2 linked regions of the Coturnix japonica genome follow. The protein of the gene in region 2 interacts with the protein of the main gene of each other region in a biochemical or structural test. Links are inferred from orthologs where the notes say so. Each region holds a gene or a part of one and is shown on either strand. Other genes may lie near its edges. The genes, in order: ECT2 and RACGAP1.

The links.
Region 1: the proteins of RACGAP1 (region 2) and ECT2 form a complex in vitro, tested with the Homo sapiens proteins (3 studies listed by BioGRID and IntAct, with this or other methods). The link is inferred for Coturnix japonica from reciprocal best matches to the Homo sapiens genes RACGAP1 and ECT2.

What each region holds. Positions count from the first base shown.
Region 1 is NC_029524.1:16,991,660-16,995,472, forward strand, and holds part of ECT2 (protein ECT2), read right to left. Parts: coding exon 3,793-3,813; intron 3,039-3,792; coding exon 2,970-3,038; intron 2,027-2,969; coding exon 1,916-2,026; intron 1,010-1,915; coding exon 913-1,009; intron 160-912; coding exon 78-159; intron 1-77. UniProt on the Homo sapiens protein: Guanine nucleotide exchange factor (GEF) that catalyzes the exchange of GDP for GTP. Promotes guanine nucleotide exchange on the Rho family members of small GTPases, like RHOA, RHOC, RAC1 and CDC42.
Region 2 is NC_029544.1:383,453-387,804, reverse strand, and holds the start of RACGAP1 (rac GTPase-activating protein 1), read right to left. Parts: upstream 2,807-4,352; 5' UTR 2,711-2,806; intron 2,445-2,710; 5' UTR 2,441-2,444; coding exon 2,356-2,440; intron 1,935-2,355; coding exon 1,732-1,934; intron 1,405-1,731; coding exon 1,268-1,404; intron 1,066-1,267; coding exon 996-1,065; intron 788-995; coding exon 734-787; intron 453-733; coding exon 375-452; intron 242-374; coding exon 124-241; intron 1-123.

The sequences.
Region 1 (3,813 bases), on a different chromosome or scaffold from region 2:
TGTTTTCACTTAAAACAATTTAAAAGAGATTAATAGATCCATACATCTAACAGTTTTATAGAATGAATTTCACTTACGTCATCACTTCCTTTAATGATTCAATAGCTCTCTCTAGAATTATTTTATCTGGGTTGTCTTCTGCTGTATGCTTCTTAAGATCTGCAATTCAAAACATTGCAAGTTCTCAGACCCTTAAGAATAAAATGTTGAGAATTTAAGAAGGAGGAAGACAAAGGAAGACAATTTAATTTTTTTGGTTAGAGTAATTTCATATCAATTCATCCACATGAACTACCCATCACTGCAGCTGGCAGTCATCAACTGAAGTAGTTTAACACATGGTGTGACTTATGCACCACAGTATCTATGTTGATTTATGGTACTTCAGCTTCCAAATATAAGTTTAACTGCACGTTAAGCTTACATTACTACTATTAATAGCCAGTTTTAGAAATGACTATTTACATGCTTTATTAAGTATCCAGATTCCTGCCTTATGAAGTGGATGTTGTGGTCTGTGAAGACAATGTTAACTCACATCTAACAGATTTTTATAATTGTTACATTAAGTGGGTGATCTCAAGACAAACACGTGAAGCTGTAGCCTTGTTGATATGAATTGTTCTCTCATTTGAACCTCAGTTACACTTGTACTTAAGACAACAAAACTGTCTTCAGAACAAGCTTTTCTAGCTGTTCATGTATGTATCTGAAGCACACAAGTGAAATTTTCTTGAACTATGCTTGTTTCAGTAATTGGTCTTGCTGATTGCTATTAAGTGTGATTAACTCTTAGAAAGAAGTATGCTTCATGTAAGACAAGCCACTTCTAATCATGCCAAAAGCAGGATTATCTTGGTTTTAAATACCTTGATCAAACATACAAAAAAAAAAAACCAAAAACTAGATTACCATTTAGTAGTAGAACAACACTAGGCAACCTTTGAACAGGACGGATAAGTAGTTCAGCTAGGCTTTGACGACCACATTCTGGTTTAGCTTGGTTTATCTACAAGAAAAGGGGGGGAAAAAGGAAATAGTTCTTATTTTTCCAACTAAAAGGGAAGTGTTATATCTTCCAAGACCAGCATTGCAGAAGTTTCCCCAGAGTCTTTCAAAACAGGTACACAGTGGTTAAGCAATCACATTAGAAGGCATTCAAATCTAGATAGTGTTTATCACTCATCTTTTCAAAACAATTCAACTGCCCATATTACCAACTTCTCAGACTTTGTTCCAGATGTTAAGGCATACTGAGACAGGTGAGCTGGTTGCATGCTTTATCATTTCCCCATCATTTAATTATTAATATGCAGAAATAGTCCTTAATATCTCAGAAAACAAGAACTGGGATCTTTTAGCTTGATTGTTTTGGGGTTTGGTTTGTTTTTTTAAGATATGCTCATTAGATGCAGAAGATTTAAAGCTACGCTGAACTAACAGTCAACTATACAGGTTTATCTAGAACCCTGGGTGTATAAAGACTCCTCTACAGACAACTTTCCCTTTGAAGATAGCCTTCTCTTAAATCCTCTTCTCATTAGCCACAGGAATAGTGAGACAGTGAGACATTCTACCTCCTTGGAACTTCATTTCTGCAACAGTTTTCCCAAAATAGCTTTTAACTTGCAAGTCTTCAGCACAAGGATGGGGATCAATAAAGAAAAAAAGGTATGTGTTTGGGAGACAAATAAGTTTTTCAGCATATAATCAAACTAGCTTAGAAGCTGTTACAGACAAGGAACTTGAATCTCTTAGTAAAGAGACTCCTGAGAAACTTAAGGGATTGAAGTTCAAATCCTTCCTATTCAACAATCCTTCAGGTTCTTAAAATTTCAAGTTCTTCATCAACTGCATTAAATAGTTTACTTCATGATAGTTGCCACATTCACACAGCTTCAAGCAAAACACATACCTTCAGGAAGGCATGAAACCTTGGCTTCTGTTTTTCACATCTAGTAATAGTTTCCTTGCTCATTTCAAAGAAGTTCACAAATGGTGGATATGTTTTCAACAAGTCTTTTGACTGAAAAACAAACAACTGTAAGAGCTCTGCTTTACATATGATGTAGCATTGCACATATGTCTATACACCCCGAGCTGCTCAAAGGGACATTTTAATGAAGTATAAAGCATTGTAAACCTGTGCGTGCTCACATAACAAGTTAGGACATTTTTGCATGCCAAATGTTCAAGACTGAAGGCTGCTTATGAAATACAGACTGCTCTCAAGTACAAATGTGATAATCTAGAAGCCACTGAGCAGATCTTTCAAGCAGAGGAGATTCTTATCTAACAAGATACTTTCAGTGAAAGTTTGGGAAATTCTAGATATCTTCACCAGCATGTGCAATCACCTTTAGGAAAGAATGGCATTAAATCACCATAAGCAATACCTCAGATCAAGAGCGTTTGAATTCAAAACGTTCTTTGCCTCAGCATGATTAAGGCAGAAAAAGCACAAGATAAGTATCAGGCTTACTATGTTAAAAAGTACTTCAGTCCCAGATCTAGCTTTCATGTTCTGTACATTATGTACTCGTGAAAAATAAGCAGTCATTATTCACACATTTTAAGTCTTCAAGGAAAAGTGCAAGTGCCTTCAAAAAGTTAACTTCTTAATTCCATATTATTGAAAGGAGGCAGAAGATCACTAAAATTACAGTAAGAGTTTCTTCTACCATTTAAGTAAAAAATGTCTGTAGCGCTGCAAATTGAAGGCTGCTTTTAATTACACCCATCTGAAGTTTTAATCCATAATGCAAACAGACAGATGCAGGCTGACAGGGATTACTTACACAAAGTATATCACTTAACTCAGCTAAGAAGTCTAAACAGAAGATACAATAACACGAGTCAGTGTTCTTGCTTACTCAGTAGTGCTATGCTTGTGTTTGTTAGATCCTACAGTGGGTTTTCTGTAAGATAATATCTCACTATAGTTCAAATGCATAAAAACAGAAACTTACATATTTAAGAAAGATATCACCAATACTTTTGCTTTCAGTCCAGTTCACCATAAGATCTTCCAGGTCTTCCTATAGGTTAGGCGCAAGGATGGGAGAAGAAAAGAACATGAGTGACAACTGCATAAAGCTTTAAGATGGTACCAGTGCTCTGCTAAACACACATAGTCAGCACAAACACATAATAAAACAGGCAGTCCTAAAACCCACACAACTTCACAGTAAACCTCTTAAGTTTATCAAGAGATGATAGCAAAACTCCTGATTTACCAAATATACATTTTTGAATCAATAGAAGCAGAGTCTAATGATGTGTCTGAACTAGTTAGCTCTGTAACAAAAACGGCATAATAGCAGTTAGAATTAAATGAGAATTAGCATAGGTTTCCCCAACTAGGTGCACCAAGGGTTAAGAAGAGTAAGAGCAAGCTGTTAAGCACCTATCAGCTTGATAAGGATCAAGCTTATTTACTGTCAGCTAATAACAGGGACAAGACAGTACAGCTGAAGTTCAGGATTCCCTTTGAGAGGTTTCATCACTATTCTCCATTTGTATCTGCTACTTATCTTCATTACACCAAAGCTGAAGAAAGACAGACAACCGCTGTACTTAATTCTGAGTACAGCTCACGAATGGCAGTATTAGTTACATATAACACTCAGACTTCAGGTACTTAAGAACTTCATTTATAAATTAAAAGTATATTTCAGATTTGCTCTTAATTCACCCTAATGATTATGTATCCATTCAGTAGCTATGGCTTAACACAAACAGAACTTAAAGTTTGCATCATATCTTCCTGTGCGGGGGGAAATTACAGTTTACCTTGATTTTAGTGTGTACATC
Region 2 (4,352 bases):
CTCCAGACAACATGCACTACAAATCAGAGGCAGCAGCTTAAGTGGTGGAGCATAGGAAATTACAATGACAGGACACCCTCCAGCCTGCTAAGCACTGATTTAGGACAACAAGCTGACACCTACCACTCTTTCTCTGGCTTCTCAGGCTGTAGGGCACAGTCTGAATGGTAGAGATGGCTTCAATAGGACCACCATCACTGGGAACCATGAAAGTCGTCTTTGCCACTATGGATTCATTTCCCTGTAGCAAGAAGTGTGTTGTTGGTGACAGCAATGCTGACAGGACAAGGATTTAAGTCTGTTGGCCCTGGAAGCAGGTGTGCACTGTGGCCAACTGCTTTAAACACACACACAGCCAGCTGGGATCACTATACCTGGTCTGCTGTGGAGCCAATTGATCTGATTTTCTTCTCAGGAGCTGGTGGGCCTTCAGCATGCTGCCTGGAAGAGCGCTGAAAAGACACAGTATTTTAGTCTAAAAGGCAGGTAATACTATTAACTTAGTGATGTATTTTAACCACTCTCTTGCAGACTCAAGTTCATAACAAGATACCTGAAACTCCACTCATTATGCCCTGTGGAAAAACAGTATCAGAAATAACTTTCACACCAAATCTACACAGCAAGTCTGAATCACATCCATCAAGGTTTTGTGACTAGCACCTACCCATCACAGGTGACACCAGTTAATGCTAACAACAGTATCTATGTGAAGGGAAAGAATTGAACATACCCTCTTCTCTCTCCTCTTCAGTCTGACAGTTTTCACTGCAGAGGAATCCCAGTCCTGTGGAAAACATGCAGCACTGGTTAGCTCAGCGTAAACACCACACCACCTCTGGTCCACACCTCCATTACGTTTTACCCAATAGCACAGCAGAGATATGCAGATCAGCTCTACCAATTTAATACCACAGTAATCTAAACACAAGAGGTCTCTAGAGATTACCCCGCAGGTTTAAGATTTCATAGTTTAGAACTTGGAATTACATTACCAGTGAATCATCAGTCTTGTCAAAGCTGATGTCTGACAGAATTGAGCCAGATTCATCTATTGTAGACAGTCTAAAAACCAAGAATTAGAAGAAGCATGCATCAGTTTGGCTTTCAGGCAGCTGTGGTCCCAAAGCAACCTTAGGCAAAAGAGCTCTATTTCAAACTGGAATAAAAGTAAAACTGTTGATATGGATGCAACATGTATCTCAGACACACGCAGGCAGACCAGTAGCTGTCACTTATGCTGTTCAGACAAAACCATTCTGCCTACCTCTTGTTGCCTGAACCTCCTACAGAAACCTGTGGTTTGTTAAGGAAGGCAAGGGCAGACTTCTGTTCTTCACTTAGCTGAATGCTCCCAGATGCATCACACATGAGCAGCTCTCGAATCAGTTGTATTTGCCTCTCCTGAAAAGAAAGATAATATCAGAAGCCGTTTAATTACATGAACCAATCTCAGGTATTTGAGATACCACACAGATAGGCTCTCACAAATTGCTAAGAGCAAGTCCAGCACTCAAGCTGCTGATATCTGCAAAGCCCAGGCTCTGAAACAGCAGCCCTTCGCCTTCCAGACAAAAGCAGAAGGCCATTACAAGGAGCCAGATCAACCCATCACTGACTTGTTTTTATTCCCCCTATTGTTTCCACACCCCCCCCCCCCCGGTTAATTGCAGTTTAACCACCTTCTCTCCACATCAACTAGAGCTAACCAGTAATAAAAGAAACACTCACCAGCCTGTCACAGTCTGCTTCAGCTTTTTGCCTGCGTTTGATCTCTACATCCACTTGATTGCGCGCATGTTTCAGCTTCACGTCCAAAGCACTACGTTCAGCTTCACTTTTCATCAGCAGGTCTTTGTATCTTCCAAGCTCCTGCTCAGTTTTCTGCCACTTCCTTCGATAGTCTTCAAAGTTCTTCGCCAGCTGAATAAATTCTGGAGAAAAGATACATCACTCAGATTAAGAGAGGAGATGCAACAGCTCTCCTATAATTGAGGGCAGACTTCTAATAATTAATTAATTAAAATCTCTATTAATTGAAACATGGAGAAGCTGGCCTTGCAGCAAACCCCACTACACTCTGGATGTTCCCAAGATGTCACCACCTTTGCAGACCAAGTCTCAGCAGCAGCATCAAGCAGCAGATACCTCATGTGAGACCCTGACAAAGGCAACTTGCTTTCACCCTATGACTCCCTATTTCTCAACAACAGGAAAAAGAAACAACCTTCAAATCTGGCTGCCTGGAAGAGTGTTATTACTCAAGACCTCATCAACAGATCCTTCAATAACAGCTAGCAATGCTTGCTGCAAGAATATAAACACACAGATGCTGCTTGATGTCTCAAAACTTACGGCATTCATTCCCCTCGCTTAAAACTTCAGCCTGGCGTATGAGTTGGTCACACAAATTCCACAGGTTCCTCATTGTGGTATCCATCCTCCTGCCAAGAAAACAGAACTAAATCAACACCTCCAAATGAAAAATGCATTACCAGCCCCAAAAAAGAGAGAATTTGCTTCAGAATTCTCTTTTCTTTAGGCAAGATGTAGCAGCTGCACACACACAAAAAAAAGATGTTAGGCTTTATGAAGAGATGTGCATCTAAATTCTTAGGGGGCAAAGGCACTCAGCCCTCCAGAATTTAGTATTAGAGCAGCACAGCTTCCCAAACAGCCTCCAGTTTACTACAGAGGAGGGATCACAAACCATTTTCCTTCTGCCAGGCTGCAGGACGTGGCTCGGGCCCACTCCGGTGCTATATAGGCCACCAGAAATCTGTAAGCATTCAGAGCAACACGAGGTAAAAATAGAAGCAGCATTCAGGGGGAATTTCAATGCCGTTTTATATTTAGCTCCACTTTAAGTTACAGCTCCTGCTGCAAACGGCCTTGGAAATGCAGGCAGTCAGCACAAATCCCTCAAACAGCGAAAACAACGGCATAAACAGGAGCAGCCAAGAGGAAAGCCTCGAGCTCAGCAGCACAGAACGCAGTTCTTTAATACAGAAGGGGGCACTCAGGACAGGCTTGGTTAATGAATGAGCTCCAGGTGAAGGGGCGGCTGTGAAGGATGGCTGGGAGTGGCACCAGGAGGGGCACAACGCCCTGTTACAATGCTTGGTTATAACCCCACACACATTGGGGTTTTCTGCATGGAAAAGCAAAGCTCTGAGGACACTCCATAGCCCTGTGTCTCACTCCCCAGCACCTCAATACACCCACAGCTCCATATGGAGCCCTCACAGCCTCTTCATAGGGCACAACGGGTGGGACAGCCCTGAGGTAACAGGCCTCGGGCCTGCCCTGAGGTAACAGGCCTCGGGCCTGCCCTGAGGTAACAGGCCTCGGGCCTGCCCTGAGGTAACAGGCCTCGGGCCTACCCCGCGCCACACACACCGGGAGGCTGCCCGGCAATAGGGCCCCACCGAGCCTCCTCAGCTCAAGATCAGGGCCCTGCAGACCACCTCCCTCAGCCCAGGACCCTGCTGATGCCCCCCAATCCCATATCGAAGCCCCTTAGACCCCTCCCCAACCCGGCTTCCCCCCGCGCACTCACCCGCTCCGAGCTCCCACTCCAACAGCCGGCTTCAACTGCCCCGCGATTCGGTTTGAATCCCTGCCGCCGGCCAATCACAGGGCGCTCTCCACCCTTCTGGTTTCTGATTGGTTCTGCTCGCCGTGTGTCTGAAGCCAAATTGGCGCCATGTCTGCTAAGGGCAAAGCTTTTTCCCTTCCTCTGATTTCCGGGTTTGACAGATGGTGAAGTCGGCTAGGCGCCATGTTTACTATTGGCAGTTGCTTCCAGCCCTTGTTGCTTAGCAACAGAGCAGGCAGGGATGGCGGTGGGGCCTGGACCCCCAACCCAAGGGCTGCTCCTTCTGCATTAACCCTGAACGCAGCCATTGGCAGCACAGGGGTATTTTGGGGGAAGAAATGCTATTCTCAGGCCAAGCCCTGGCTGTAACTGTGCTAAACCAATGACACAAAGCATGGCAGGGTTCCGAGTCCCCTGTGCATTGGTGACATCAGGCATTCAATGTGCCCCAAAGCTATTTCAGATAACAAAAGCTTTCCAGAAGGCCTTTGGTTCAGTGTTGTCCCTTGAGAAGAATGATGCCGTGGCCTTTTGTCTTCTATTTGAGCCAACAGACCCACAAGCCAAAAGGCAAAGCCTCATTTCATTCCTCCTCCCATTTGCAAGCCTTTAATACAACTAAAAACACAAACCAAAACCCAACGATTTACAAGAAAGCGGAATCACGCAATGGCAATAAAACAGCAATGCACTTTAATCTTTGAAATCTGAAACAAAACCAGCGGGTAATTGGAGAATGGATATTAGCAATTAG